7 linked regions of the Callithrix jacchus genome follow. The protein of the gene in region 7 purifies or fractionates together with the protein of the main gene of each other region. This does not show direct contact. Links are inferred from orthologs where the notes say so. Each region holds a gene or a part of one and is shown on either strand. Other genes may lie near its edges.

Region 1 (4,112 bases), on a different chromosome or scaffold from region 7:
AGACTAGAGTCCTCCTACAGATGTAGAAAACCCCAGCTCACCTCATCGTAGATACTCTCAATCTCATTGAGTAAGCTCTTAGACCTCAGGACCTTGGTGTCATTCTGTTTAAAGTTGATACCCTGGTGGTCCAGAGACTTCAAGTAGTATTTCTCATTTTGTTCTCGCCATACTTTGTTAAAGCCTCTCTGAGCTTCTCGCCATTCTTCCTCTTTCATCTTCAACCTAGTGAAGTGGGAAGGGATGGAAACAACATATGGGAATTCAGAGGGTTTAGAACAAAGAAATCTGCCAGGTTTACTTTATTTCAAGAAAAGTTAAAGCTATATTAGGTCTGTCAAAATTATTGGCAACTTAGGATGAATGTTATCAAATCTGTCTTGAACTCTGTTTCATGAGGAAATTACTCATCCAAGACTTATTTTGGGGAAATGATTTATCTCAGTCAAATAATTTCCCTAGAACAGTTACTTATCAAACAGCATTCCAAGGAATACCTTTGAGATTTAAGGAAGTCTTCCTTGAAAAAAACAGTTCTCTTCTTTTGCCAGCAAAAATAAAGTTAAACATGTTTCTTTGCTGCAGGATTTTGCAAAATGTTCACAATGCTAATGAAGACATAGAAGTCCAAGAGCAGAGAACGTGCACAGTAATGTTCCTCTGGATACAGTCTGGAAAGTTCTGACCAGAACTGATTTTAATAACCCAGAAGACAACAGACTAAGACCAAAAAAACAGCACTAAAATGGAAGAATAATCAACATCTCAAAAGCCAGAGTTAAATGTTACAGGCAAAAAGAAACCATCAATCTGTGCCAGCTCTTGAGGGAAAGATGAAGGACAAATAAAATCTGGGTATTTGTCAACAATGCAGCAAACAAGAATTAATTTTTACCAGATGATACTTAGAGAGAACCAAGCTCACAGCAAAGGATTCAGTGTGGTCAAGAATGACATAGGGCTGGGCATACTGTGGCCTGTGCTATAATCCCAGCACTTTGGGGAGGCCAAAGCAGGAGGATTGCTCGAGCCCAGGAGTTAGAGGTCAGCCTGGGAAACATAGCAAGACCCTGTCTGTATTTAACAAAATTAACAATTAGCTGGGTATGTGGTGGCGCAGGCCTGTAGTCCCAGATCCCTCCTACCCTGAGGTAGGAGGATCACTTGAGCCTGGGAAGTCAAGGCTGCAGTGAGCTGTGTTCACACCACTGCATTCCAGCCTGGGTCAAAAAGTGGAGACCTTGTCTCAAAAAAAAAAAAAAAAATTAATTAAAAATAAAAAAGATTTTAAGTTAATCCTGAGTGGCAGGAACATGGGTGGCAATTATCTTTTCTTTTCTGTATTTTAAAATACTCCCTCAAACATATACACAGAGCCTTCCACCATGAACCTACAAGATTTGTTCTCTAACGTTGGTCACAAAGAACCCCCAAAAGAAGTTCCACTCTGCATGTAAATTCCAACAACCAGGGCTGGGGAGAAAGAGCGGTCTCATGGGACAACCAGGTTGAAAACAAGAGCCTTATTTAGTGGGACACTGACACAGTAGTGAAGTACACTAAAGCACCGAGGGCACATTTGCTCAGGTACCTTTTAAGGACAATTGGGACAGCGATGGAAGGATTCTTTCTCAGACCATCAATGATGTCAGCTGCTTTATCAGCATATATCCTCTGGAGTGCTTTTCTATGGATGACTTCTGATGTGCCCCCAAGGGTGTTGTCCAAGCGAAATTTGGCTTGTTCCTCAGCAGACAAGCGGGAAAGCTTCTTCTGTATTGCTTCCAGAACCCGGATTGTTGCCAGATTGGTTTCTAAAACTACATCAAGCTGAAGAGGAAGACAAAGGTATGCTTAGGACCCAAATCAGAATAGAATATAGTGGTTAGACGAATAAGGTAGGGAGTTGAACTCCTTGGATTTGAATCCTGGTTCTGCCTTACTAGCTGCATAAGGCTGTTTCCTTACCAGTAAAATAGGGATAACAGCACCTATTACTCTAATAAGCTTCTTTTTGGATTAAATGATATAATCTACATAAAGTATTTAGCACAATGCATGGCACTTTAAGAACCATAGGACTGAGTCAGTAGTCTACAAAGCAGAAAAAAAAAAGAACCATAGGATTAAGTTGGATACATGGTAGTTATTACCTCCATCACCACCAGTGTGTGCCTTGCTTAGGACTACTGATCTTGCACCAGAGGAACCTAACAGGAGATGACTTTACTGATACGTTTCTCTGAACTTTCCTGAATTGCTAAGATCCATTATGAACAAACATCATCAAAACAATCCCAAAAGACCTCTGTCTTGAGAGTTTTTAGGTTTAACTTGAAATATTTAAATATATTCAAATACTTAAATATTCAATAGCCTTGTTCTGCATCCAGTAATAGTAAAAGCAGTGACTATCATACCCTAAGGAGTTTGCTGTTGCATCTGTGGGTAATCATTTAAATTCTTATTGAACTCCTGGCAACCTTTGATTCTAGTTTTTCCCTAGCATAAAATAAGGTTCTTTAAATGAGAAACAGAAAATGAAGTAAATGGGCCAGGTGCGGTGGCTCACGTCTGTAATCCGAGTACTTTGGGAGGCCAAGGTTGGTGGATTATGAGGTTAGGAGATTAAGACGATCCTGGCCAACATGGTAAAACCCATCTCAAAATACAAAAATTAGTTGGGCATGGTGGCGCGTGCCTGTAAATCCAGCTACTCGGGAGGCTGAGGCAGGAGAATCACTTGAACCTGGGAGGCAGAGGCGACAGTGAGCTGAGATCACACCACTGCACTCCAGCCTGGTGACAGAGCTAGACTCCGTATCAAAGAAGAAGAAAAAAAAGAAGTAAATGAGCAGTCTCAAGAACCTACAGCCAAATGTTTGCAGAATTGTTCCCTACGTTTTCTTGTTTTGAGACTCTGGTAGTCATTTTGTCAATAGTTCTGGCCCCTCTTGCTCTCCAAATACAGACAAAAAGGGACTAAATTTCCTGGCTCCCTTATGAATGAATAGGGTCATGTAACTAGTTCTGGCAAATGATTTGTTATGAGTTGAGTAAAAGTAATGTTTATTACTTCTAGGCTGGAGCATTTAAAGGTAAGAGATCTTTCTGGGCTTTCTTTTCCTTCTAGTAACTGGCAACATTCATGATGGTGGCAATCCCTTGGCCTGGGTCCCCTGTGATTCAGACACGCCAAATCCCCTGCTAAACACCAACGTACACGTAGAATGATTAGAAATTAAACCCAATGGTTTTACAAGTCACTCAAATGTGGGAATTGTCTGTACTGAAGCATTACTAACCTATTTATGATTGGTAAAGCATGTTCCTTCAAACTAGCCCACCCCATCAAATCTTAAACACATGGACACCCCACACTTCTTTCATCTTTGCCCTTGTAGTCACAAATGAGAAATGAGGCTGCCTCTCATTTGCAGGCATACCAGTTGAGAAAGGATGGGAACATTCTGTCAAAAACAGATGCCAAGCTCTCCTAACTCATCAGCTAACCCTACTAAATATAAATAACAAAGAAATGTCTTCTTTAGTTTGGTAATACTCCTATGGAAGTTAAAATCTGTCATGATTTAGTTTTCTGCAAATAGCTGCAACTCCTTATAAATGCTGGGGCAAAGATGGCCAACCACCTGCCAGTGGTGAGGCAGCATGTGGCTGTTCATTAAAAACACACCAGAAACAGCTGAAGCAAGTGTGACAAGGGAAAACTGGCAAAGAGCTAAGAGTATTAAAAAAAAAAAAAAAAAACACTAGCAAGATACCTGTCCACACAAATAAGCACAGCCAGTCAATTTAATGTAACAGACACACTAAATAGGATACATGTCATTTTACCTCTTTAGAAACTAGACTTCCATTTTTGATAATGATAATGTAAACTAGACATATAGACACACTAGGGATTTTGAGCCTACTTTCAGTAGTCTTGCTCCTGATATAGTGGTATGAGGCCCTCTACTACCTCCACTCTTCCCAACTGCTTCAAAATAAAGTCCCTGCGACAGGCACAGTGGCTCCAGCTTGTAATCCCACCACTTTGGGAGGCCAAGGCGGGTGGGTCACTTGAGGTCAGGAGTCGAGATCAGCCTGGT
Region 2 (4,631 bases), on a different chromosome or scaffold from region 7:
GTCAACAAGGCTCTAGCTATAATACTACTAACAACCTTCCTAAGTATTCAGAGAGAACCGCCCCAAGATAAACCAAGGAAATCCACTATTTTACTGTTTGGTCCCTTCCAATTCTTACCACACAGTCTGTGAGCGTTCCCCATTGCTCAAAATGGCTCCTGAGGCTCTCATCGGTTGTTTCAAAGCTCAACCCTCCAATGAAGAGCTTCCTCAGCTGTTCCGGCTCTTTAGGAGACTACAGTGGGGGAGGCGGAAGTGTTAAATGAGCTGTAACACCAAACAATTTCCATCGAGGAAAATCAAAACTAGACAACTGTGTATGTAGCACTTATTGTTCGTTCAGATTGCAACAAGCCATGTGCTTCTCTCTAACAGGGGAGAAGGTATGTTGGGGGTTGGGAGTGCTGCGAAATCCAAAGCGCATGCGTCCCTAGTCGCCTTCCGACGCACGCGCAACAAAGGCTTAGGCGGGAGGGGTACATCGCCAAAATGGGACTAATCGCTCTTTTAAAAACTCGCTCACCAAAGCAAGGTTTAGAAAAGGAAAAGCCTTATGTGCGTAAGAATTTTTGCTAAGACTATAGAGTGCTGCATAATAACTCATGATTGGCGCGAGCGGCCTCATGGCGATCAACAGGACAAAATGGCGACTTGAACTTTGGGAGGGGTAGGCCGTGGCAGCAACCTAAAAAACTGTAGAATGGGCTGGTGAAAGGAACGAAACCAAGCCGCATCTTACCAATTCAGGAAAGGAAGAGGAAGAAATTCAAGTTGGAAAGAGCGCCTAACTCACCTCTGACTTAGACATGATCGCGGGGAGAAGAGAGACTTTAACGATGCTGCTTCGGCGGCGTCCACGGGCAGAAAGGAGCAAACTGACGAACGTATCTGCCAGCCTACCTTCGGCCTTTCTTTTTTACCCCGCCTCCTCCCTTTCAGCATTGGTACACTCCGCCCTTGAACAGTTCTGATTGGATGTGTGAAATCTCTTCCCCCTACTATTGGCCTGTGGTGCCACACTGCTGTGTAACGTCATTCCTTTGGGCGGTCTACGCCCTCTCCACCCCTTGGAGTTCATTGGTTCCCGAGTAATATTATTCTTAACCAGTCTGATTGGCCAGCCGATAAATCATTCATATTTGAATATACCTTGGGTGTTTAACGCCTTTTTAATCTTCCCCGCACAAATATTACGCTTGGCAAAGCATGATTAACACTATGTGTCAGAAAAGCAGTTAGCCAGCAGGTCAAAATTTTGACTGCTTGTTGAGCGCACGTGTAGTAAAATGGCGAGTTTTGCGCAGGCGCATTAAGAACTTCCAGCAGCCTCTGGGAACACGTGAAATGGCGGGCAGTACTAGGCAGTGACCCTACGGCGCCTGCGTATTGGCGGGAGTTGGTTCCAGCTTTGCGCATGCGTGGTGGGCGGAGAAAGGGTCCGTTCCCGGATTGGTTGCGCAGGCGCAGGGAAGGATCCGTTTTGGCGGGCGGTTGGCGTTGCGCAGAAGGTGGTGGCGGTGGTGGCTTGCGTTGCGGCCTCACCATACAGCAACAGGGCAGACGTTAGCGTGAGTGATCACTCTCAATCCCGGGTAAGTGGCAGACAGTCTTCTCTACCCATCGTAGGTCTCGAACTGACTCTATTTGGGCCCGTTATTGTGTGAAATGAATGGACCGCGGGGTGGGGGATAGTGAAAGGGCAGCGGTGGGTCGGGCCAACCAATAGAAGAACAGGGGGCGGGATGTTTTAATCCCTGTAGGTTCTTTGGAGCGGTGCAGCTGAAGACTTTGACTGGCTTGCGTATACGCCAATTGGGTCTGCCTTGAGCTGCCGACTGATGGGCCCTTGGGGCCATCGGAATGTGGGAGACGGGTTTCCCCTCCTGAGCTGCGTCTCACTGAGCCAGTAAGCGCGAAGCGCGCGGTAGGTTGGGCTTCTCCAGGAGGCAGCGGTTTGACTCCAATGGGGAATGCGGGAGTCGGGCGGTTAAACTGATGGACCGAATCTGGAGCCAGTAGACGGACAGCCTAAGGAAAGTGCTCGGACCAGTCGTCCAATCGACTCCAGAAGAGGGAGGTCTTCGATTTGGGGTTGTGAGGAAGGGGAGTCGGTGAATGTAATGGCGTGTGAGGGTGAATGTTTTATCCACAGTGACTTCTCTAAGGAAGCCTTTAGGCCTCTGTCCCATAAACCTCCTTGAAAGCGTAAGTTTGCTCCTGGCTGCCTCGACTTGACATTTTCCCCCCCACCTCCTCACCACTTGAGGTTTGGAGAACAGGGGAGGGTTTTGTTGTTGTTAAGTAATACTTTGAGAAGTCGCTTCTTTAGGAAGCTGTTAAAATGTTAGAACGAATAGGAAAAATCACAACATACTGTCATGGAAAGGCGTTCGAGAAATATTTCTTTCCTAATAGTGCATATTTCTGAACTAATATGTTGTAGGTCTAATAAAAAAGTTTCGGAAAGCTACACCCTAAAGTGTGTCAATCCTAGGGACACAGTAGGATCGAGGCAAGTTGGATCTTTAATGTTTAAAACTTTGCAGGGTTAATGATCTGTGATTAAAACTAAATAAAAAATGAAGTCAGTTGTTTTGTGTTTCTAGTCATAATCACATACCACCCCTTTTCTGTTTTATATAATCCATGTACCCAGTGCTTTTATTTTAGTCTCTTTCTCCCGGGAACTTTTCCCGCTCATGTTTCCCCTTTCTTCACACCATTAAAGATATCCTAAAGCCCCTCTTTTTGCTGTTCCTTTGAGAATATCTGACTTTGAAATAAAAAGGAAACTGCTTAAAGAGGGTAATATTTAGAGTTCTAGGGAAAGAAGACTCATCCATCACCTGGATTATTCCTTGCTTTTTTATTAGATTTTCTTCCAAGTGTATTTTGCATGCAGTCTATCTCCTTTTGGTAATACCCACTCTGCTTATTCCAGGATCTTTTGGAGAAATAAATCAATTTTCATAACATTGGCTGTATCAGAGTCTTACTGTTTTATTCACTGATTTATTCAGGATCGAGGGAAAATATTTACTGAAAATCAACTACCTATGAAGTACACTTACGATTAGAGACCTTTCTGACTTTACCAAAGACAAACAATTTTAGTGAAGTTTATGAACATTGGAGAGATTTCCATGTTCTCTGGCAGTAGCAAAAGGACATATTTATAATTTATATCTGACTTTAAACCTATTTGCAGGTATTCTAGTAATGGAGTTATTGAGCTGAGAACTAACTAAAGTGATACAGGTTAAGGATATCTGTCCTGGATTTATTTACGTTTGAAAGTAATACAGTCTTGAATTATAGCAAGGTTTCTCAGCCTTAGCACTGTTGATATTTTGAGGCAGACAATTATTTGTTGAGGAGGCTCAGGGTGTCCTGTGCATAGTGAAATATTTAGCAGCATCCCTGGCCTCTACCCAGTGTATTCTAGTAGCGTCACCCCACTCGCTACATCCGCATTGGTGACAATCAGAATGTCTCCAAACATTGCCAAATGTCCAGGGAGGTAGGGGCGAGGGTAGAATCTCCCAGTTGAAAACCATTGATCTAGAATACTGGAGTATGCGGGGGCACAGTTTTGTGTTCCTGTAGTCCCAGCTACTCTGGAAGCTGACACGGAGGCAGGAGGCTTGAGCTCAGGAAGTCAAGGTGTGAGATGATTATGCCTGTGAATAGCCGCTATACTCCAGTCTGGGCAGTACAGCAACACCCTATTGCTAAAACAGAAATAAAATGCTAGAGTTTATTATCTTTTCAAAATCCATTATTTTAGCAACTGGTAAGTAGGTAAAGGTGGGAGAAGATTGTTGAAGTGTTTTTGTTTTTTAAGACCAAGTTTTGCTCTTGTTGCCCAGGATGCAGTGCAATGTTATGATCTCAGCTCACTGCATCCTCTACCTCACAGGTTCAAGTGATTTTCCTGCCTCAGCCTCCCGAGTAGCTGGGATTACAGGCACGCACTACCACACCTGGCTAATTTTGTATTTTTAGTAGAGATAGGGTTTCTCCATGTTGGTCAGGCTGGTTTTGAACTCCTGACCTCAGGTGGTCCCCCCACCTCAGCTTCCCAAAGTTCTGGGATTATAGACGTGAACCACCATGCCTTGTGGATGGTTGAAGTGTTTAGGGAGTGGCCTTTGGTAAATGGATGACTAAATCCTGATGTTTATCTCCTTAGGACATAGAATTGATTATTGTCCTACTTGATAAAAGAAAAATTTCTTTAAAATTATTACCACTTCTTGGCCTGGCTGCAGTGGCTTACGTCTGTAATCCTGCCACTTTGGGAGGCTGAGGTGGGTGGATCATTTGAGGCCAGGAGTTTGAGACCAGCCTGGACAACATGGTAAAACCTATCTCTCTACTAAAAATATACTAATTAGGTGTGGTGGTGAGTGCCTGTAATCTCAGCTACTCGGGAGGCTGAGACAGGGAAATGGCTTGAACCTGGGAGGCAGAGGTTGCAGTGAGCTGAGATGGTGCCACTGCATTCCAGCCTGGGTGACAAAAAAAAAAAGTTTTTACCACTTATTGCAATTTAAACATAAGATTGATTGTTTCTTGGGCTTCCTAAAATAATGGCAAATTTGTTTTTGAAGAAGGTAGACTTTGCCTTA
Region 3 (4,112 bases), on a different chromosome or scaffold from region 7:
TCCTGTTGGGTACTCAGTGCCCATCAAGCCCCTCGATTCCTCGAGACAAAATGGTACAGAGGCCACCAGTTACTACTGGTGTAAATTTTGTAGTTTCAGCTGTGAGTCATCTAGCTCACTTAAACTGCTAGAACATTATGGCAAGCAGCATGGAGCAGTGCAGTCAGGCGGCCTTAATCCAGAGTTGAATGATAAGCTTTCCAGGGGCTCTGTCATTAATCAGAATGATCTAGCCAAAAGTTCAGAAGGAGAGACAATGATCAAGGCAGACAAGAGTTCGAGTGGGGCTAAAAAGAAGGACTTCTCCAGCAAGGGAGCTGAGGATAATATGGTAACGAGCTATAATTGTCAGTTCTGTGACTTCCGATATTCCAAAAGCCATGGCTCCGATGTAATTGTAGTGGGGCCACTTCTCCGTCATTATCAACAGCTCCATAACATTCACAAGTGTACCATTAAACACTGTCCATTCTGTCCCAGAGGACTTTGCAGCCCAGAAAAGCACCTTGGAGAAATTACTTATCCCTTTGCTTGTAGAAAAAGTAATTGTTCCCACTGTGCGCTCTTGCTTCTGCATTTGTCTCCTGGGGCGGCCGGAAGCTCGAGAGTCAAACACCAGTGCCACCAGTGTTCATTCACCACCCCTGATGTAGACATACTCCTCTTTCACTATGAGAGCGTGCATGAGTCCCAAGCGTCGGATGTCAAACAAGAAGCAAATCACCTGCAAGGATCAGATGGGCAGCAGGCTGTCAAGGAAAGCAAAGAACACTCATGTACCAAATGTGATTTTATTACCCAGGTGGAAGAAGAGATTTCCCGACACTACAGGTAAGTCATAGGAGGGTGGGAGGGATATAGAAACAAAATAATAGAAGAAATCCACAGAAAGGTGGCTGAACTAGGAGCTGTTGGGAGTGATTCTGATGACTTGGGGAAGTTATAAGAGAAGACCACATAGAAGATCATCAGAGATTTGCAGGTGATATAGTTATAGCTGTGATCACTATAGATTTTTATTTGGTTCCTTCTTTAGGACTATGCTCTTGTGTTTCATACTTGTTTTATACCATTTACTGATTGTATTTTTAAATTCACAGTGATTCTAATAATGCTGATGAGTTTACCAATTTACCATAGTCTATTTATTTGTCCTTATTAAATGTGACTCCACATGCTATATTTTTTGACAGAGCAGCTCCCAAGTTAGAGATTCTATTATAAATATATCCTATTCTCTATTCTGAGAAAAAATTTTGAGAAAGCGTTGCTCATTTTTATTTTAAAATGAGATTATATATTCTTCTAGCTTTGAATAATCCTGCAACATCCTTATTTGGTATGCAAACAGTAATCTAAAGATGAGAATTTTTGTAATATTTGTGATTTGGGATGTACACTTGCCCCTCCAAGCAGGTAAAACTGCTTAAGTTATTCAAGATTCTGGAATGGATGTGGGACATGTTTGTGTTTTCCTTCTGTGTTCACCCTATTCTCTTTATAAACATTAACTTTCTCAGTTAATATTTTATAATTTAAGATAAGTATAGGATATGCATTTTTATTTCATTTATGTACCCATTCCTTAATTAATTAATTTCAAAAATCCTATTGTATGAGGCATTGAATATGCAAGAGAAAACATAGTCAGTGACCTCATGGAACGTACAGTTTAATAGGGAAGATGAGACACTTAGATGGTTACAAGAATAGTAAGTGTTATAAAAGATGAAGTACAAGCTTTGTGCAGTGGCAGTATCGTAGCCAATGTTTATCTGAGGGACGATTATTGCTAATTGAAAACTTTTCCCAATACCCCGCCATGACGACTTGCAATACAGTCGGCGTCGACAATTTTTGACAGTCTGTATAGGGAATGAATATTAAAAAAAAAAAAAGACGAAGTACAAGGCAGTGTGTTTGAATATAATGATAACATAACCGAATAGGGTGGATTAGGAAATGCCTTCCTGAGCAGGGAGCATTTAAACTGAGAGTTGGTTATAAATAGGAATTAGTTCATCAAAACAGTGGTGGTACCCTGCTTTCAGGTATTATTTACTGCTCATTAGGTACTTTCTCATTATTATGCCTCTGGGCATCAAAGTAGAAAGCTTTACTTACTGTGTCAATATCACTCTAAAAAAATCTATTCACTTCAATTTTTACATCCCAGGATATTTAGACAGTTTCTTCCATTCCTTTTAAAAGCTGAGTGTTAGTGCGAGTGTGTATGTTGTTTCAGTCACCAGTAATGGAGCAGTTCATGTCCAACAATAGGCTAATAACATGGAATGTTAATTTGAAGGGCATCCCAATGTTCACAGTGAATCAAAATGTTCAGAAAACACTTACTTGAGATTTACACTGTTTAATTTATAAGGTCAGCCCTGGGAAAGACACAGTCCTGCAATCAAATATGTGTTCACACTTGCAATGAGTGTTTCTGGCTCCTCTGATGTTAGCTGCATGTTAATTTGTTTCTGAGGCTCGCAGACATCAGCTGCTTTCTGAGCTTTACTAGTGTGGATATGTGCGCATGTGCACATTGTGCATGTACATTTATTGAGTGATATAAAAATCAGATAGTTCATTCTTTTTACAGCTTTTTTTTTTTGAGAAATCATGATTTTCTTTAATCATGAGGAAACCAGCCAGAACATATATACATTATGGACCTACACACCCACATGCATGCACACACACACACACACACACACACATTCTGATACATCTAGCTACCAGAACATTTGGACAAGTTATTTTTCTATTGATGCAGCTGAGGCATTTCTTGAGAATCTGTCTGGGAAAACAGGGTTTTCACATGCTTTAGGTAAACAAACTAATCATCCAAGAAATAAAAGTATGAATAAGACTATTACTGAATAATGTCCAAATTTAGTTAATATTCAGTGATGAAAGTAAGCTCCAGAGAAAAGAGAAGTATTCTTTTCTTGTTCATCACTGTATCTGCACAATTTAGCACAGTGGCAGGATGCCTAATGGGAGCTCAGTGAATATCTTTATGTAAATGAGATCCCTGTGAGTTTTTGGTTTCACAGTAGTTATGAATAAGCTGAAATTTCCAAGGTGAGTTACATTTTAATCCTTCACTATTATATGATCTTGGAACCCTTCTGAGGACCTAGGCTTCTATACCAAATGACAGTTGTCTGTTCATTTTGAATGTAAGTGAACTTCTCAGCATTTTATTAGCTAAAATGTTAAATAGCACTTGTCCCTAGGGCATTAAAATATTCTTACACTTATGTTTAAATCCTGATGTAGTTGTCTGACCAGAGATCCTTTAAGGTGCTGAGTAGTTTATCTCTAATCTGTTTATGAGTTATTACAGAGATATTTGAAATTTGGAGCCTTACAATTTCAGAAGTCACAGCTTAGTAAAAAAGATAAAGAAACTCCACTGAAAGCTGAACAGTAATGGTAGACCCAGAGATGTGAAAGGACATAGTCACATGGATGTTTAGAACTTGATCTGCTATCAAAGCATTTTTCAAAAATGCCCCATTTTAAGATAGAATAAGAGGACAAGTTTACCTTATCACATATTATCTTTATAATTAAATTTGTTGACTCAGATTATTCATGTTGGGAAACTTCTGCCATGGTTCTGTGTTATTGTGAAATATGCTATGCTTTTGAGTGCTTTATATAGAAGACTTAAGAGTATAGTAAAAATTAGCATAAGCCATGAACGGTATAATATGTGAAATCCTTTAGCTATAAAATGACTATAGCTGAGAGGCAGAAGAGTTGGTCTAGAGCTGAGTGAAAATCTCAGTATCGATTCCATTGCATGGGTGTTTTCTTTTTAAGAACTAAGTTAAACATGGTGGAACTGCAAGCATGATCTAGTCAGCAACGGATTTGGTCCATTCTCTTAATTTTTAGTATTTACTTATAATACCTCAAACTCCTATTATGACTGAGTTATTATATTTCACTAATGAGTGGCTTGCTCACTGCATTTCTTTTATTATGTATCATTTAATTCGACTGTGTACCCGTTCTCTATTGACTGTTATTTTTCTTATCAAAATTTTCAGTGTTATAACATTTTTGGTAGAAGTAGGAGTGTTACTTCCCTACAA
Region 4 (2,826 bases), on a different chromosome or scaffold from region 7:
GACAATAAAAGTCCAGAAATTGATCCTGAGACAGAGGCTGATCATAACACAGGATCAGCAGCAGCTACTACATCACATTTTGGAGTTTCTTTTTCCTAAATTAAACTTTATGACCAGACGTCTAATGGCAAAACACCAACAAAAAAATACATATTTTATAGCATTTTAATCATAGATAAGCATATGCTTTTCTGAATCTTAATATTACAGACTAGTACACATGATAGAAATACTAAAGTTTTGAAAGTAAATGTACTAAATCATAGTTTTAAAATAAAGATTTTCTAGGCCGGGCATGGTGGCTCATGCCTGTAATCCCAGCACTTTGGGAGGCTGAAGTGGGCGAATCACCTGAGGTCAGGAGTTCAAAACCAGCCTGGCAAAACCCTGTCTCTACTAAAAATTAAAAAATGACTTGAGCCTGGTGGCACCTGCCTGTAATCCCAGCTACTCAGGAGGCTAAGGCAGGAGAATCACTTGAACCTGGGAGGCAGAGGTTGCAGTAAGCCAAGACCATCACTGCACTCTAACCTGGGTGACAGAGAGAGACTCCATATCAAAAACTAAAAATTTAAAAAAAGATTTTCTATTTAGAATTCCAAAACTTATACAGTACATTGTAATCAGAGTACAACATACATGCATATATTTTTTAATTAAGTATAACTTAACTGTCTTGAACATCTAAATACACCCCCAAAAGTGCTGGGATTACAGGTATGAGCCAGTGCACTTGGCCCACTCAATATCTACTAATGTAAACCTATTCAAATCTTTCTTAGAAGTGGACAGGTTATAAAAAGAACTAAATACACATAAGTAATCCAAGACACTACAAATCACACTCAAACACATCTTTTTATTATATACTAAATTTAAAAATACAAATCTTATTAAAAATGCTTATCAAACATTGTATACATAAGTACTGTCAAATACTATTGGGTTATGACATTATGTACATTTGTTAAGGTTAATTAGAAACAGAATAAAGTAATATAACTTTGCTGATACTGAATTTCAGAAGTTAAGTGTTTTAAAATTTGGCAACTGTGAAGTAGTGATCTGCACAGGATGTTTGCAGAGGTAAAATAATTTAAAAAAAGGAATAATGCAGATATTCCTGCAGTAAGTGTTAATAAGTAGATTTCTTCTTCATCCTCTTAACTCCCAATGTAACAGAAATTAAAGTGCACATGACCACCAGGAATACTTGATTTGGTTGTACCCTAAATATATACAACAGCCAATTGTGCTGCTATATTGAGGGCTTTATTCTTTTTACTGTTCCTGAGGTTTTGGAAGTTAATTTTAAATGTGGCTAAGGGAAGGGAGGCTAACACTTTCTAAATTGCACCAAATGGCCTTAAAGTGTAGAAATACCAAAGACAAAAATATTAATTTGGAAATAGATTCAAGGAAATGATCCCTATTTTCCCTAGGAATAAAATTAGAATAAGGGTGTAGTTTTACCTCTGGAAAATGCTTACTAAAATCTGTTTCAAAAGATCAGACATGTACAGCAAGCACCACAATACTGTCAGTTACTGTTCACCACTTATACACTGCATCATAAATACCAGGTATAAATACCTGCCTCTAAAGGGTCACCAGAAATACAGGTAGAAGCATGTTATCACTTGACACTAATTTTACTCATTAAGTACAATTTGTAAAAATAGGTCACCACCCCACCATACAATCAAGGAGAGGAAAAGAAAAGTTGCTATTCTACAAAAGTGCTCCTTTCAGCTTTCAAACCCAATAGCTTAATTTTGGGTAAAACAAGATTGTAAGGTAAGGCCATCAGTTCTAAATAAGGTGATGATGCTATATATACATCCTCATATATATATGTGTGTGTGTATATGTGTGTGTGTGTGTATGTGTGTGTGTGTGTGTGTATACTCATATATATATATGTTTAAATTTCAGTTCTGATTTAACATTAATGTACTAGTACAAACCATTTATAGGAAACATTTTATGTCTTATTTACAAACACACAATGAATGACAAAGATATGGAAAATTTTTTAAATTGCAGATAAATGTAGTCATAGTTTACTAAAGACAAATTTGCATAACTTTTTTAAAAACCAAAGAAAAATGCTTAGAAAGAAACCCCTACCATATACAGTATACTTATTGGTCATCAGACCTAAGAGGCAAATCAATATAAGGATCATGATAAAATTTTTGTTTTCTTTTAATAACATATCAATGAGATCTACTTAAGAGTACTACCTACAATACACATTCTCTCATGATTCAGCGAGAATATTAAATTATTGAATACATTTTTTTACTCTCATGGCACATTACGCTTGGTAACACTAATAAGGTAAATTTAGATAACACTTAAATCATGATTACGAATGTTTAATTGAATATTTTCCTTTCTGCAGCTGTGAAATGTAAAGCTTAGATTTGCTTCCATCAGGCCTCTTAAACCAAACTTCATCATGGTTAATTGTTGTAATTACAGCACTAAAAAGAAAAAAAAAGAATGAATGAATGAATTACAATATGTCTCCTCAATTCATTTTAGATTACCTATAAAACCAAAATAACCTGGCCTACAACAGTAGACTCAGTATGTACATAATTGTCTTTAGCAGAATGCTGCATATCAGCAGTGCGTGCTGCCAAAAATAGCACATTCAACAACACTTCTTAATAGAGTTGGTAAAATTTACTTTCCATTTGAACTATTAAATGCACGTCCTTCCTATTCCATCCCCACCCCATCTCTCAAAAAAAAAAAACTGGAGCTAAAAGCACTACTTACATGGTATTATACTTGTAACTCACATCAGCCTTGGCT
Region 5 (3,847 bases), on a different chromosome or scaffold from region 7:
GGTCCATGCCTACTGACTTGCGATAGTCTGCTTTAAACACCCCACTTTGTGTGGTTGTGAACCTAGATTGCAAATCCCTGAGCTCATGGCTTGGGTTCTCATGGACCATGAGGCTGCCTGTGGAGTTTGGAGCCATTTGTGCCCCCGGCCCTTGCAGGCTAGCTGAGCAGGGAGGGTCCAGTGAGTGGGGTGTTGGGCGGCCGCTGCCAGGCCTGCTGTGAGGGCACTGGTCTGAGGCAGGTGCTGTCCATCTAGCGAGCTGCACACAGAAGGGGGAATGCTGCCCTCTTGTAACTGCACACCCCAGCTCCTCCTCATGGTCAGGTAGCTGTAGCCCTCTAAGTGGGTTTTAAGGCAGCTCATCCACTTATCCGTTAACAGTGTTTATCATCAGTCCCTCAAGCGGTCAGGGTCACAGCTATTGTGTTATTACAGATATGTGGCCCACCTCTTCCGAGGACACCTTTAACTTCTTTGTGATGGGAGCCAGCTGTCACTGTTTTCCACCCTCATCTCCGGGGCTTTCCAGAGGGCTGGGGATCACACCCTCAGAAGTTCCCTTCCATGGCTGGCTTCCTCCCTGCTGGGCTTAGTGTGGTTCCCAGACACCCCTGGCCCAGAGAGATGCTCGTGAGATGCACGTTTGCTACTCCTCCCCTTGTTCTTTTCAAAAAATGGGATGATAGGATGTACTGTGTGAAAGTTACACAGTTTTGGTGCCGACAGATAACCGATTCTCTCGGGTGAATTGCAGGGATGCCGTTTTTGTTTGCTGCAGATAACAGAAGAGGAAGTAGTAGAAATATGTATAGGTGACAAGTGTTTGCATTTATTTGCATGAGCAGGTTAAGTGGCTGGTAGCTAAAGTGAGTCAAGCAGCTTGGTTATTTGTGTCACCATCCAGGACGCAACAAACCCCCGGGGGTCTCTTTGCTGAGTGCTCCCCTGCCAGCCTTGCCCTTATGAGCTGGTTAACCCACCTCGGAAACCATAGTGGACACCAGGGTGGTGGTGGCGAGGATGAAAGGGCCGTGCATGCAATGTGGCATCCGGCGGAGCTGAGAAAGGGAGATGTGCTGCCTCTTGAGCCTCTTCGGGGCATTTTAAAAGCTGTTAGTTGGTGTGGTGGAGGGGACCCCTGGCCACTGATCTCTGCCCTAGACCTGCCCCTGCGTGACTCTCAGGGACAGAGCTCTTGTTATTAATTCTGTGTCTTCCTCTCACCCCCAAACAGGAACAGATTATCAGTCTGGTCAATCAGATCTGCGGCAAAGTGTCTGGTAAAAACGGCAGCATTGAGAACTGTCTCAGTAAACCCACACCAAAAAGAGGCCCCCGAAAGAGAGCCACGGTGGACGTGCCCCCCTCCCGGCTGTCAGCCTCCGGTTCATCCAAAAGTGCTTCGAGCTCATCATGAAGATGCCAACGCCCGTGGTTGATTTATATATATTTTTTTGTAATTATTATATTCTAGTTTGGAGTACTTGCTGTAGGATTCAAGCTGTCTTTGCACTAGCTCTAAAGAAGATTTTCTTCTGGTTTTAGAGAACTAATTTTGTTTTAGCATTAAACTGTTGAACTTTTTTTTGTACTTAGAAAACCTAGATACTGCAGTCAGATTTTGGAAACTGCCGTATAGTCACTGTTTTAAAAACCCTTGAGGGGCTGTATTAATTTGTATTGCCCCTGGCTGACAAAAGCCTTTTTTGTTTCTTTTTTTTTTTTTTGTAACTGTTGGGGGAAAAAAGGCTTTTTAACCCATTTTTGAAGAGGGTGAAGTTTGGAGAACAAATTTAAAAACCATCAGTCATGTGAGCAGATTTTTTAGAAGGGATAGGAGACACGCACGCGCGCGTGTACACACACACACACACACACAAAACTTGAAAAGAAATGGCTTTGCTTTGGCTGTCGTTGTCTGCCGTGGCCAGATGAGCTTGTGAGCTGGGAAGCCAGGGCACCCCCGTTTTGTTTCTCTGGGCGGTTGTGGCAGCTGAAGGCAGACGTTGTTTCCTGACCACAGGCGGAACGAGGAGCCGGGAGCGAGTGGGCTCTCCACCAGCACATCACTATGCATCTGTTCAAGGAAGGAAGGAACGCCAGCAAGGAAGACGGAAGAGACTGCCTGCCTTGGAGGGGTCACGTGAGGGAGACCTGTGCCTGATTTCATTAGGAAATCCATTCTGTTATTTTTTGGTGCTGTTGGCTACTTTATCAAAAAACCCTTCAATAGCATCCTTAAGATATTAAAAAAAAAAAAAAAAAAAAAAAAAAAAAGTGATGGAAGCCGTAAGTGCTTCTTGGTCATCGACGTGCAATCTTCTAACATTCCATCACCATCTCACCGCTTCTTGTTTGACACCTTCACAAGTCAGCATTAATCTTGCTTTTTAAATTTTTCATTTATGATCACCCATAGAGAGCCACTAGGAGGCCTGCAGTTCTTTTTGAATGTGAAAATGCATTTGCGCTCATCTTGTCTATTTTTTCTCTTCATGTTGTAACAAAAAGGAAAAAAAAGAAAAAAAAAAAATCCCATCCCTTTTGTACATACGCCTGTAAATTGTTTTAAATACTTGAGCCTTTTTCTCGGTGGGGGGTGGGGAGGGGGAGAGAAGACAAGATGAAGAAAAGCCTTACATTTCAGTTTCTTCATCGGTTGGATTGGATGCTTACAGGGTTTTTCTTGTAACATTTATAAGTGCTGCTTACATCACTGAACAACAACAACAAAATAATGGAGTAGCTGTTGCCCTTCTCCAGTTGTGTGTACAGTATGTGTGGAATAAAAAAGGGAAACTTTTCACAAGCTGTTCTTTGTTTCATAATTGGATCCATCAATCCGTAGCTACCCATGTTGCACTGAGCTTGCCAGTGGTGACTGCCAGGAGCGTCCTCTGATCCACTTTGTTGGTTGTTGTTGCAGAAGACTGAACTGTTTTGGAATATTTAACAATTACAGAACCAGAGTCGTGTTTTCCAATGTGGTTGTCCGGTTTCTATGGCCTTGCTGTGTACTTTCCCTCTTTTTGACAGTAAACTTCTGCCTATGGCTTACAGTTTGACATTTAATTTATTAGCGCTGCTCTGCACCCTCCCTTGGGGGGAGACTTCATGTGGTTTATTGCGAGTTTTTTGTTTACTTTTCAGGTTTGTACTACAAGGTTTAATAATAAAATCAACGTTTTTTGGACATTTGTCTGTCTTGTGGAAGATGACTGAATGGAATGAGCTCTCTCTCTTCTCATCCATGGGCAGGGGTGCAGAGGATCTCTCATGCTGCAGTCCTGCCCCTCCAGCTCCCACCTGCTGGTGGCGGGGGGGGGGTCCCCTTTCAGCAGAACCTAATGGTTTCCATGTGGCCCAGCCCGCGGGGCCAGAGCTGGCCACAGGCTGCAGCCATTCCACCTCATCTCCCATTGAGCGTGGCACCCCTGCTGAGCTTCCATGATGAGATGACACTGGGCACATTGAGGGTGTTATGGCTCATCTCAATGGGGCATCTGTCCTCCCTCTCGTTGGGCTGGAGGAGTGATAGACGGAACATATCACCAGGGGACCAGTTTCTTTTCAGGAGAAAGCAGGTATGGAGGATTGCTTTGGGCTTCTGTTCTTTTGGGCCCTGGGGTGTGAAAGTAGGGTTTGGACAGGTTGGCTATCATACTGATCAAAGGAAAACCCCCTATGAAATGGCTGTTCCCTGCCTCACGCAGAAGTGAGCCCGGTGTAGCCTCCACAGCCTGGCCCAGGCCCTGCCCCCATGCTACCTCCTGGGGCAGCCCCCAGTGACCTGCCCCCTTACAGTGGCCTTAAGGAGGCCTGTATTTAGAAAAGTTTGTCTACAAAC
Region 6 (4,642 bases), on a different chromosome or scaffold from region 7:
CCGCTCAAATCAGGACTCATCAAGGTAAAGTGTATTAAAAAGCTTCCCCTACTTTCCAAGTCTCTGGCTAACTCCAACGTAAACTCCATGACATTACACCAAAACTAAAATGCAAAAAGTACCACATTTCACAAACACTAAAGGAACACCACAAAAATCTACAGGTGAATAAGTGTGTAAAGATGATCTAAAAAATCCTTCTGAATGGCACTTTCGTAGGTGCAAAGGAATACAATGATGTGCGTCTATGTGCGTGAATTTTGAAGAAAAAAAACAGCTAAAAAATATCCTTGGAGACTACAGTACCTTCATAGAATAGGTACAGATCAAAGTACATGCATAATCAGTGTTACAAGCCTTAAATAGAGGAACTCTGCAAGATTCCTATTTCCCAATTGTTGCAGGTTAACTGAAATTCATTTTACATCTTTCTTATAAAAGCAACGAATTCAAAGCATTTGTTCCGTCTTTCCATATTCACTCTGAAATGAAGCCTACTTAGAAACATGTTCTCCAAGTTCTCTACAAACTCAAAGGGTACATTTAACTCCATTATGCACTCTCACTGGCAGATGGAAGGATGACGTTGAGCCTGTTCTCAGGGAGTTAAAGAGATGCTCCGTAGTAAAGGGGAACATCTTGTGGGCTGTCAGATGGCCAGCCATTCTTCATCTTCATTATTCCAGCAAAGAAAAGGTCCTCGCCCATCAGGATAACACCATTAAACTAACTGTAAGAAGAGAATGAAGGGGATGATGGAAGAAGTCTCCCTGAACTTCTCTGACAAAGGGGCTGGTCCACAACTGAATGAACTGAAGAATCCGGAAAGCTTTTAAATAAAAATCTTGATCTCCAAATGTGTTTAAAAGTGTAAAAAGACAAACACAAAAACACCAAAGCTAATGCACATTTTAAACTTTTGTATAATCAGTTCATGTTCGTAGTTCCTGACTGGAACTCTTTCAACTTCTAACGTTGATTTTCAGGTACATAACTCCACAAAATTGTTTATCTTTTTTCTTCCTCCTAAAATGATAAAGTGAATGCAAACTACAAAGAACATGACCCTGTTCTCACAACCTGAAAATCCAGAGTTTCAGACATTTTGGTCTCACACCAAAACTGGAAGATGTGAGATGAACTGCACTCCATATTGATTCTTACAGCAAATAAGAAAAAGCAGGGGGAAAAAGCTAAGAAGGGTAGGTAAGACAAAACAATTGTTAAACTTCGCTTCTAATCTGAAATCTTGGACCTCGCACACACAAAAATCAAGTTTTTACATCCTATTTAACAGAAAATATTCTGCAAAGGAGAGAAAATTTTGAAAAGGGTGGAAAGTAGAGAAAATAGAGTAAGTACAATGAGGAGAAAGGATTCGAAATTCTTCATTTACCAAGAACAAAAAAAATTAAAACTTAAATTGCATAGAAGCTCTTACTCATAAATGCACTGGCATTTCCCAAATTAAACTGCACGGGAGCAACAATACAGGCCATTTCTATACAGCACCCACTTACGAGCTCTAATTCCAGAACACACACCGATATGACACAGTGTTGCAACCAATGTATTAGGAGGCAAAGAAAATGGTTGGGCTACTGGACGTCTTCGATCAGCTCATTCAAATACCTTTAAAATTAATTAAGGGACAGGGAGAGAGGAAAAAAAAAAAATGGAATAAAGGAGCACCGAGTAGAAAAGATTAAGAGGAACGTGGAAGGCCGGGGCTGCCGAAACTAACCTGTGCCATCGCTGGCCGACGCCGAGAGGGCCGGAGATGAGAGTTTAGGCCGCTTGGCTGAAGGCGGCCCCGGTTCCACCACATTCTCGGCCATTTTTAATTCTTTCGGAGATACAGGCGAGGAAAACCAGAATCCTCAGGAAATCTCTTCGGCCCGGGGTCCCCGCCCCGCACCCAGGGGTGGGCTGGGGGGCTCCGACGGCACCCGAGGGGGTGGGGGAAGTTCCTTTTTCTCTTCGCCGGGTCGCAGTGGCTGGAGAGGGATGCGGACTCGATAGAAAAGGTAGGGGCAAGTGCTAGGGGCCGGGCCTGGGCCCAAGCCCGGAGGAGGGCACAGGAGCACAAATTCACCGAGCGCGTCTGCTGCGGCGAATTCCCGAGAACTCGCGGCTCTAGAGGCGCAGTCCCCGGCCCGCCACGGCCGGCCCCTGCCCAGCCGAGGTCTCTCGGAGCTCCGCCGCCGCCATCAGCCTCTTCCTCCTCGGCGCTGTCCTCCTCCTTCTCATCGCCACAAGGAGGCGGGGGCGAAAAGGGGGGAGAGGAGGAGGCGACGAGAGACACTCACCTCCTCCCGGTGCCCCCTCCCGGGCCTGCGCCCCCACCCTCCGAACCCTCCTCCTGCCGCTGCCGCCGCCGCACCGGCCCCTAATGGCCGCAGAGAGCTCAACCGAGCCGAGAGCCAGGCTGGCGCCGCCGCCTCACATCGCACGGCGGCCGGCGGAGGCGCGGCAAGAACGCCAGGCGCGGAGCTGGCCGGCCCAGAGGACCGAGGGGGCCGGGCCGAGCAGCGCCGCCCGCCCGCGCCGACGCCAAACCCACCGAGGAGGCCCCGCTCCGGCGGCGGCGCAGGCGGCCCCTCCTCGCGCCGCGCTTCTCTCCTTCGCCCTCCTCTCGCGCGGAAAATAAATAAATACGGCCGCCGCTACGGTCCCCTCCGCCGGCGGCCAGGTGCTGGGAGAGCCCGCCCCCCCGGGGCTCCGCTCGGGGCCGACCGCGACGGCGGGCGAAGGCGCCGCGGGGCGCGGGGTTATGTAATGGTCCCCCCTAGGCGTCGACGCCGGCCCCGCTCCCGGGCCGCGGTGGGGGTGTGTGCGGACGGGAGGGGGCTAGGGGTCGCCTCAACCCGTGCGCCCCAGGCCCCCTGCCACTGTCTCGGCCCCAGCCGCCTCTCTCCGTCCCGGATCCCCTCCGCACTCTCTGGCTCCCGCAGTTCGCACTCAGCTCGGCGTCCCGCTTGCCCACTCTCGCCCGCTCCCTCTCGCCTCTCTCCCCCCCAACCTAGCACACAAACAAGATGGCGGCTGTTGTTTCTTCCCTCTGCCGAATCCTCCTTACAGGCTAGCGGTAGCGGCGGCGGCCGGAAATGAGCCAAAGGAGGGGGGTGAAAAAGGGGAGGGGCCGGGCCTCCGAAGGGAGGCGGGGCCTAGGCCCGAGCCGCTCACACAATGGGGGAAGTGGCGCCGGGGGCGGGGCCGGTTCCAATCACGGGATCCGCCCTAGTCCCCAACGCGGTTAGCGCTTCCGCAAACTCCCCCGGCGACACCCTGTGGCTCCCTTTAAAGGGGAGGATTTTTAAGAGGGGAGAGGATTTTAAGGGGGGAGGGGTGGGGGCGGACTCAATCTATTTTCTGTCGGTCGATAGTTACGAGGGAAGGTTCCTGGCTTTGGTCTCTTGTAGGGGACCGGTGGGAACCTGGGCGACTGAGCCCGGGAGCTGCGCCGAGGAAGACGCCAAGTCGCCACTTAGATGGCCAAAGGGGAGCGCCCGTGGGGCGGCCCTGCTTCCTGGCCTTTGAGTGGCGGGTCCCCCAAACCCCGGTCGAATCCATAAGCCAGGGTGTACCCACTGCCGAATACCCAGTGCATCCTCACTTCTCCATTGGCTTCCCAAAGGGAGTAGTTCACATCCAAAAAGCACGTTGATTACGAGTTGTTTTCAATTTCCTCTGAATTTTCCTTTTTTTTTTTTTTTCCACAACGAGCATATATTACTTTGACCAGAAAACAAAAATCACAGCAGTGGGAAGGAAGATGTTTCGGCACCAGACCCAACATTTCTTGCCCTCCACGTGTGTCCGTCCATACGCCCCTACCAGGTAGCACTCTCACCACAGAAGTCTTTCTTTTCTGAACACGCCTGGGACCTGAAGACATTTTTAGGTTTCTTTTTTCTTTTTTTTTTCCGTCTGCTCCCAATAGATCAAATTAATAAAAGACCACGTCAAGCCAGTGCCTTATCTAATGTAATTATGGGAAAAAGCAAAAATGTGGTAAAGGTAAGGATGGAAAAAAGCAAAAATGTAACGGGGGGAAAGTCCAGTGTGTGGGACCCAGCAGTTTTGCAGCTGAGGTCGGAGACATGCTTTCGGGTTTCTACACATTACCCTGTGTTTTGACCTTGTGTAAATTGTTACTGGAGAAGGTGGTATGGGTGTAAGTGACCCCCAAAGAAACTCACAAACTATTATCTATTGATATGGTTTAAAGCTTTTTCTCAAGCTGGGCTCAGTGGCTCACACCTGTAATCCCAGGAACTTTAGGAGTCCAAGACAGGTGGATCACGAGGTTGGGATTTGAAGACCAGCCTGGGCAAGATGATGAAAAGCCACCTCTACTAAAATACAAAAATTAGCCTGGTGTGGTGGCACGCACCTGTAATACCAGCTACTCAGAGGCTGAGGCAGGAGAATCGCTTGAACCCAGATGGCAGAGGTTGCAGTGAGTTGAGATCCTGTCACTGCCACACACTCCAGCCTGAGCGACAGAGCAAGACTCCCTCTCAAAAAAAAAAAAAAAAAAAAGTTCGCGATGGCTCACGCCTGCAATCCCACCCCTTGGAAGGCTGAGGCGGGTGGATCGCCTGAGGAGGGGGAGTTCGAGACCAGCCTGGCCAACATG
Region 7 (4,112 bases):
AAATAAAAATAAAAAAAATAGAAAGACTAGCTAGGTTTAGAAAGCAAGAATTAAATACTTAATTCCCCAAGGCTGAAATCTGTACTATCATCTTAGTTTTTTGCTTTAGCAAATCCAGATAATGAGAATTGTTTCTTTGAGATGGAGGCTCTTGTTCCCAGGCTGGAGTGTAGGGACATGATCTCAGCTCACTGTAACCTCTGCCTCCTGGGTTCAAGCAATTAACCTGCCCAAGTAGCTGCCCAGCTATTCAGGAGGCTGAGGCAGGAGAATTGCCTGAACCCAGGAGGCAGAGGTTGCGGTGAGCCAAGATCGCGCCATTGCACTCCAGCCTGGGTAACAAGAGCGAAACTCCGTCTCAAAAAAAAAAAAAAAAAAAAAGACAGGACCTTGTTCTGTGGTCCAGACTGGGTTGCAGTGACACAATTAGAGTTCCCTGCAGCCTTGACCTCCTAGGCCAAGGGATCCCCCTGCCTTAGCCTCTGGAATAGTTGGGACTACAGGCACACACTACCATGCCTGGCTAAATTTTGAAAAAAATGTTTGCTGTGTTGCCCAGACAGTTCTTTAACTTCTGGGCTTTAATGATCCTTCCACTTTGACCTCCCCAAGTGCTGGGATTACAAGTATGAGCCACAGTGCCTGGCCCTATTTTTGTGTTTTAAGATGAGGGTTACAAATTACAAGCAAGCAGCTCTGATGCAGTGTTTACTTTGTGTGTTCTTTTTCTGGTGTTTATTCATATCCATTTCCCCCTTAAAAAAAAAAAAAAAGAAAAACTACAATTGTAGTTCTGTAGCGTTGTCCTCTCCTTCATTCTTCCTGTTCTTTTTCTAGCCTTCTATATGCAGGTAATTCCAATTTGCTGTTCATATCCCTCTTTTCATTTCTCTTTTTTTTTTTTTCATTTCTCTTTAAATTTATTTCACGGATCATAGGAAACAATCACTTCTGTTTTTTCAGTGTATGGTAGATGTTCTCAAAGCTTTGCTTGTCACATCTGTGCAGAATTCCTGTTGGTATCTTTAGACCTAACTTCTCCAGAGCTTTTCCTGATTTTTCTTCTGCTTGCTATTGTCTTCCCTGATGTATCTTACTGGCTTCCCCAATTAGACATATTGTAAATGAAATAATTCCTTCCATGAAGAGCTTACCCCAACTTTCTCTTCATATTGTTCCTATTTCTTTTTATCCTAATTGGCATTTGTTTTCCATTTTCTCTTTCTCCATTTTACAGGCAGTCAATTTATAAAGCTCAATGAATTCTGCTTGTGTAGCGTCTTTGCCATCTCTACCAGGGGTTCTCAAAATTTTATATGCATCATAATCAGTTGGCAGTATTGTGAAACATAGTTGTGCTCCGCCTTCTAGAGTTTCTGATTCAATGGGTCTGGAGTAGATGGGAGAATTAGCATTTCTAATAAGTTCCCAGATGGTGTGGATGCCCTTGGCCCAGTATGGAGTACAGAATGTCTTAAGATTGCATTCAGGACACTAAAAAGTAAGTTTTAATCGGCTTTCTCTCCCGGTGTGCTTTCCCATATCAAAAGTCAGATTGGGACTTCAGTATGCTTCTGTTACTTAGTAGCTGTGTGATCTTAGGCAAATTTTTTAATTTTCTCTTTCTCTCTTTTCTTTCTCTGTCACCCAGCCTGTAGTACAGTGGCACGATGTCCGCTCACTGCAACCTCTGCCTTCTGGGTTCAAGCCATTCTTATGCCTTGGCCTCCTGAGTAGCTGGGATTAGCCAGCTGAGGATTTTTAAAGGACAAAACTCATGTCTTAATCATCTTTGTACTTCCATAGCATTTGGAGCAATGTGTCTGTTGATTAGGTATTTAGTAAATACCTGAAAAATTGGTTTGCTTAATCTAATTTTCTCTTTTTCCTTTTTTCATTTTTTTCTTTGGATTTTCTTTACACCCTTTCCCCTTTTTTCCTTTTTAATGAAAGTTTTAGTAAACAAAATCATTAGCATACCCAACAATGGTTTTCTTAACCTCTAACCTATTGTAGTGAGTGAGTAGTTAATTCATATTTTATTCCATTAAACGTTTTACTTTTTCTCCAGAATAATTAAGTAGAAAATAAGGCCAGGCATGGTGGCTCTTGCCTGTAAACCCTGCACCTTGGGAGGCTGAGGTCAGTGGATCACTTGAGGCCAAGTGTGGCAGGTGCCTGTAGTCCCAGTTACTTGGGAGGCTGAGGCTGAGAACAGCTTGAACCCAAGAGCTGGAGGTTGCAGTGAGCCAAGATTGCACCACTCCATTCCAGCCCCGGGCGAAAAGTCCTGGTTGTAATAGTCCCTTTTACATAACATGTATATTGTTGACTTTGTGTTTTCTTGATGTTACTAATTTGAATAATGACTGTATATTGCTGTTACAGACCAGAAGGGAAAGATTTCAGCATTCATCGACTTGTGCTGGGAACACACACATCGGATGAACAAAACCATCTTGTGATAGCCAGTGTGCAACTCCCTAATGATGATGCTCAGTTTGATGCATCACACTACGACAGTGAGAAAGGAGGTAGGAATCTTAAAGGTGAAGGAAGTAAACATGTATGGGTCATATCTTTCATGTCTTTGAATTGTAAAAGTTATATATTTAGTTTGATAAAGTAATCTCCAACTTTAGAAATAATATTTAAGCTTGGGGGAAAGCCCGAGTTTGCAGTGGTAGAGTTGTAGATGTCAGAAGAAATACTTAACACATCCTTGGTTCTATACCTTTGCAATGAACTTTTCTCATCTGATGCTGGCGGAGGAAATTTCTATAATTGAAAGAAGCAAAAATATATATTATTGCTGTACATTAATTGGTAGTGTTTTTTGTTTGTCTGTTTTTTGTTCCTGAGATGGAGCCTCGCTCTGTCATCCTGACTTGTATGCAATGGCACGATCTCGGCTCACTGCAACCGCCATCTCCTAGGTTCAAGCAATTCTTTTAGTTCAGTGTCCCAAGTAGCTGGGATTATAAGTGCCCACGAACACGCCTGGCTCATTTTTGTTATTTTTAGTACAGATGGGGTTTCAGCATGTTGGTCAGGCTAGTCTCAAACTTGGGTGAGCCACTGCACCATCTTTATTTTATTTTATTTTTTAGAGTCTTGCTCTGTTTCCCGGGTTGGAGTGCAGTGGTGTGATCTCAGCTCACTGCAACCTCTGCCTCCCAGGTTTAAGCAATTCTTCTGCCTCAGCCTCCTGAGTAGCTGGGACTACAGAGGCCCGCCACCATGCTTGTGGTGTATTTTTGTATTTTTAGTAGAGATGGGGTTTCACCAAGTTGGAGAAGGTTGGTTTCGGAATTCCTGACCTCAGGTGATCCACTCTCCTCAGCCTCCCAAAGTGCTGATATTACAGATGTGAGTCACCACACCTAGCCATATTGCTGTACGGTTTTTTTTTTTTGTTTTTGAGACAGAGTTCCGCTCTTGTTACCCAGGCTGGAGTGCAATGGCACGATCTCGGCTCACCGCAACCTCCGCCTCCTGGGTTCAAGCAGTTCTCCTGCCTCAGCCTCCCGAGTAGCTGGGACTACAGGCGCACACCACCATGCCCAGCTAATTTTTGTATTTTTAGTAGAGACGGGGTTTCACTATGTTGACCAGGATGGTCTCAATCTCTTGACCTCGGCCTCCCAAAGTGCTGGGATTATAGATGTGAGCCACTGCGCCTAGCCTGCTGTACATTCTTAACATGGGAGATACTACCCCTAACGAGGTGAAAATTGGTTTGTGTATGTGTGAGAGTACATGTAAATCTTACTGGTTGATTGTGTAAAGCACAGATATGCACAGAGTACCTAGGATATCCATGGTATTTCATGGGCCAGGGCTAGTTCTTAAAACCCTTCTTAAAGGAGCATTAATAAAAAAAGAAAACGTTTGGAAACATTAACATAAATTACCCTTTCTAGGTTTAAAGTGGTAGAAATGACTTAACCATGGCACGTCCTATGTGTATAAAAATTTAACCTACAGGCTGGGCATAGTGGCTGACATCTGTAATCCCAGACGCCAATTACAGGCATGCGCCACCATGCCCGGCCAATATTTGTATTTTTAGGAGAGACGAGGTTTCACCATGTTGGTCAGGCTGGTCTCAA

What was found.
Region 1: the proteins of RBBP4 (region 7) and SIN3A purify together in Homo sapiens (affinity purification with mass spectrometry; 11 studies listed by BioGRID and IntAct, with this or other methods). This does not show direct contact. The link is inferred for Callithrix jacchus from reciprocal best matches to the Homo sapiens genes RBBP4 and SIN3A.
Region 2: the proteins of RBBP4 (region 7) and CBX5 purify together in Homo sapiens (affinity purification with mass spectrometry; 6 studies listed by BioGRID and IntAct, with this or other methods). This does not show direct contact. The link is inferred for Callithrix jacchus from reciprocal best matches to the Homo sapiens genes RBBP4 and CBX5.
Region 3: the proteins of RBBP4 (region 7) and TRPS1 purify together in Homo sapiens (co-immunoprecipitation; 3 studies listed by BioGRID and IntAct, with this or other methods). This does not show direct contact. The link is inferred for Callithrix jacchus from reciprocal best matches to the Homo sapiens genes RBBP4 and TRPS1.
Region 4: the proteins of RBBP4 (region 7) and BRMS1L purify together in Homo sapiens (affinity purification with mass spectrometry; 5 studies listed by BioGRID and IntAct, with this or other methods). This does not show direct contact. The link is inferred for Callithrix jacchus from reciprocal best matches to the Homo sapiens genes RBBP4 and BRMS1L.
Region 5: the proteins of RBBP4 (region 7) and JARID2 purify together in Homo sapiens (affinity purification with mass spectrometry; 3 studies listed by BioGRID and IntAct, with this or other methods). This does not show direct contact. The link is inferred for Callithrix jacchus from reciprocal best matches to the Homo sapiens genes RBBP4 and JARID2.
Region 6: the proteins of RBBP4 (region 7) and EP300 purify together in Homo sapiens (affinity purification with mass spectrometry; 4 studies listed by BioGRID, with this or other methods). This does not show direct contact. The link is inferred for Callithrix jacchus from reciprocal best matches to the Homo sapiens genes RBBP4 and EP300.

Annotation. Positions count from the first base shown.
Region 1 is NC_133509.1:22,463,232-22,467,343, reverse strand, and holds part of SIN3A (paired amphipathic helix protein Sin3a), read right to left. Parts: intron 1,831-4,112; coding exon 1,592-1,830; intron 226-1,591; coding exon 42-225; intron 1-41. UniProt on the Homo sapiens protein: Acts as a transcriptional repressor. Corepressor for REST. Interacts with MXI1 to repress MYC responsive genes and antagonize MYC oncogenic activities. Also interacts with MXD1-MAX heterodimers to repress transcription by tethering SIN3A to DNA.
Region 2 is NC_133510.1:65,269,932-65,274,562, forward strand, and holds the start of CBX5 (chromobox protein homolog 5), read left to right. Parts: upstream 1-1,477; 5' UTR 1,478-1,592; intron 1,593-4,631. Other genes in the region: HNRNPA1 (heterogeneous nuclear ribonucleoprotein A1), read right to left, coding at 119-235, 794-808. UniProt on the Homo sapiens protein: Component of heterochromatin that recognizes and binds histone H3 tails methylated at 'Lys-9' (H3K9me), leading to epigenetic repression. In contrast, it is excluded from chromatin when 'Tyr-41' of histone H3 is phosphorylated (H3Y41ph).
Region 3 is NC_133517.1:81,803,776-81,807,887, forward strand, and holds part of TRPS1 (zinc finger transcription factor Trps1), read left to right. Parts: coding exon 1-831; intron 832-1,738; exon of another isoform or gene 1,739-1,876; intron 1,877-4,112. UniProt on the Homo sapiens protein: Transcriptional repressor. Binds specifically to GATA sequences and represses expression of GATA-regulated genes at selected sites and stages in vertebrate development. Regulates chondrocyte proliferation and differentiation.
Region 4 is NC_133509.1:70,446,782-70,449,607, reverse strand, and holds the end of BRMS1L (breast cancer metastasis-suppressor 1-like protein), read right to left. Parts: intron 2,490-2,826; coding exon 2,372-2,489; 3' UTR 840-2,371; downstream 1-839. UniProt on the Homo sapiens protein: Involved in the histone deacetylase (HDAC1)-dependent transcriptional repression activity. When overexpressed in lung cancer cell line that lacks p53/TP53 expression, inhibits cell growth.
Region 5 is NC_133505.1:15,205,843-15,209,689, reverse strand, and holds the end of JARID2 (protein Jumonji), read left to right. Parts: intron 1-1,234; coding exon 1,235-1,417; 3' UTR 1,418-3,193; downstream 3,194-3,847.
Region 6 is NC_133502.1:191,898,075-191,902,716, reverse strand, and holds the start of EP300 (histone acetyltransferase p300), read right to left. Parts: upstream 3,064-4,642; 5' UTR 1,839-3,063; coding exon 1,745-1,838; intron 1-1,744. UniProt on the Homo sapiens protein: Functions as a histone acetyltransferase and regulates transcription via chromatin remodeling. Acetylates all four core histones in nucleosomes. Histone acetylation gives an epigenetic tag for transcriptional activation.
Region 7 is NC_133508.1:69,245,467-69,249,578, forward strand, and holds part of RBBP4 (histone-binding protein RBBP4), read left to right. Parts: intron 1-2,388; coding exon 2,389-2,534; intron 2,535-4,112. UniProt on the Homo sapiens protein: Core histone-binding subunit that may target chromatin assembly factors, chromatin remodeling factors and histone deacetylases to their histone substrates in a manner that is regulated by nucleosomal DNA.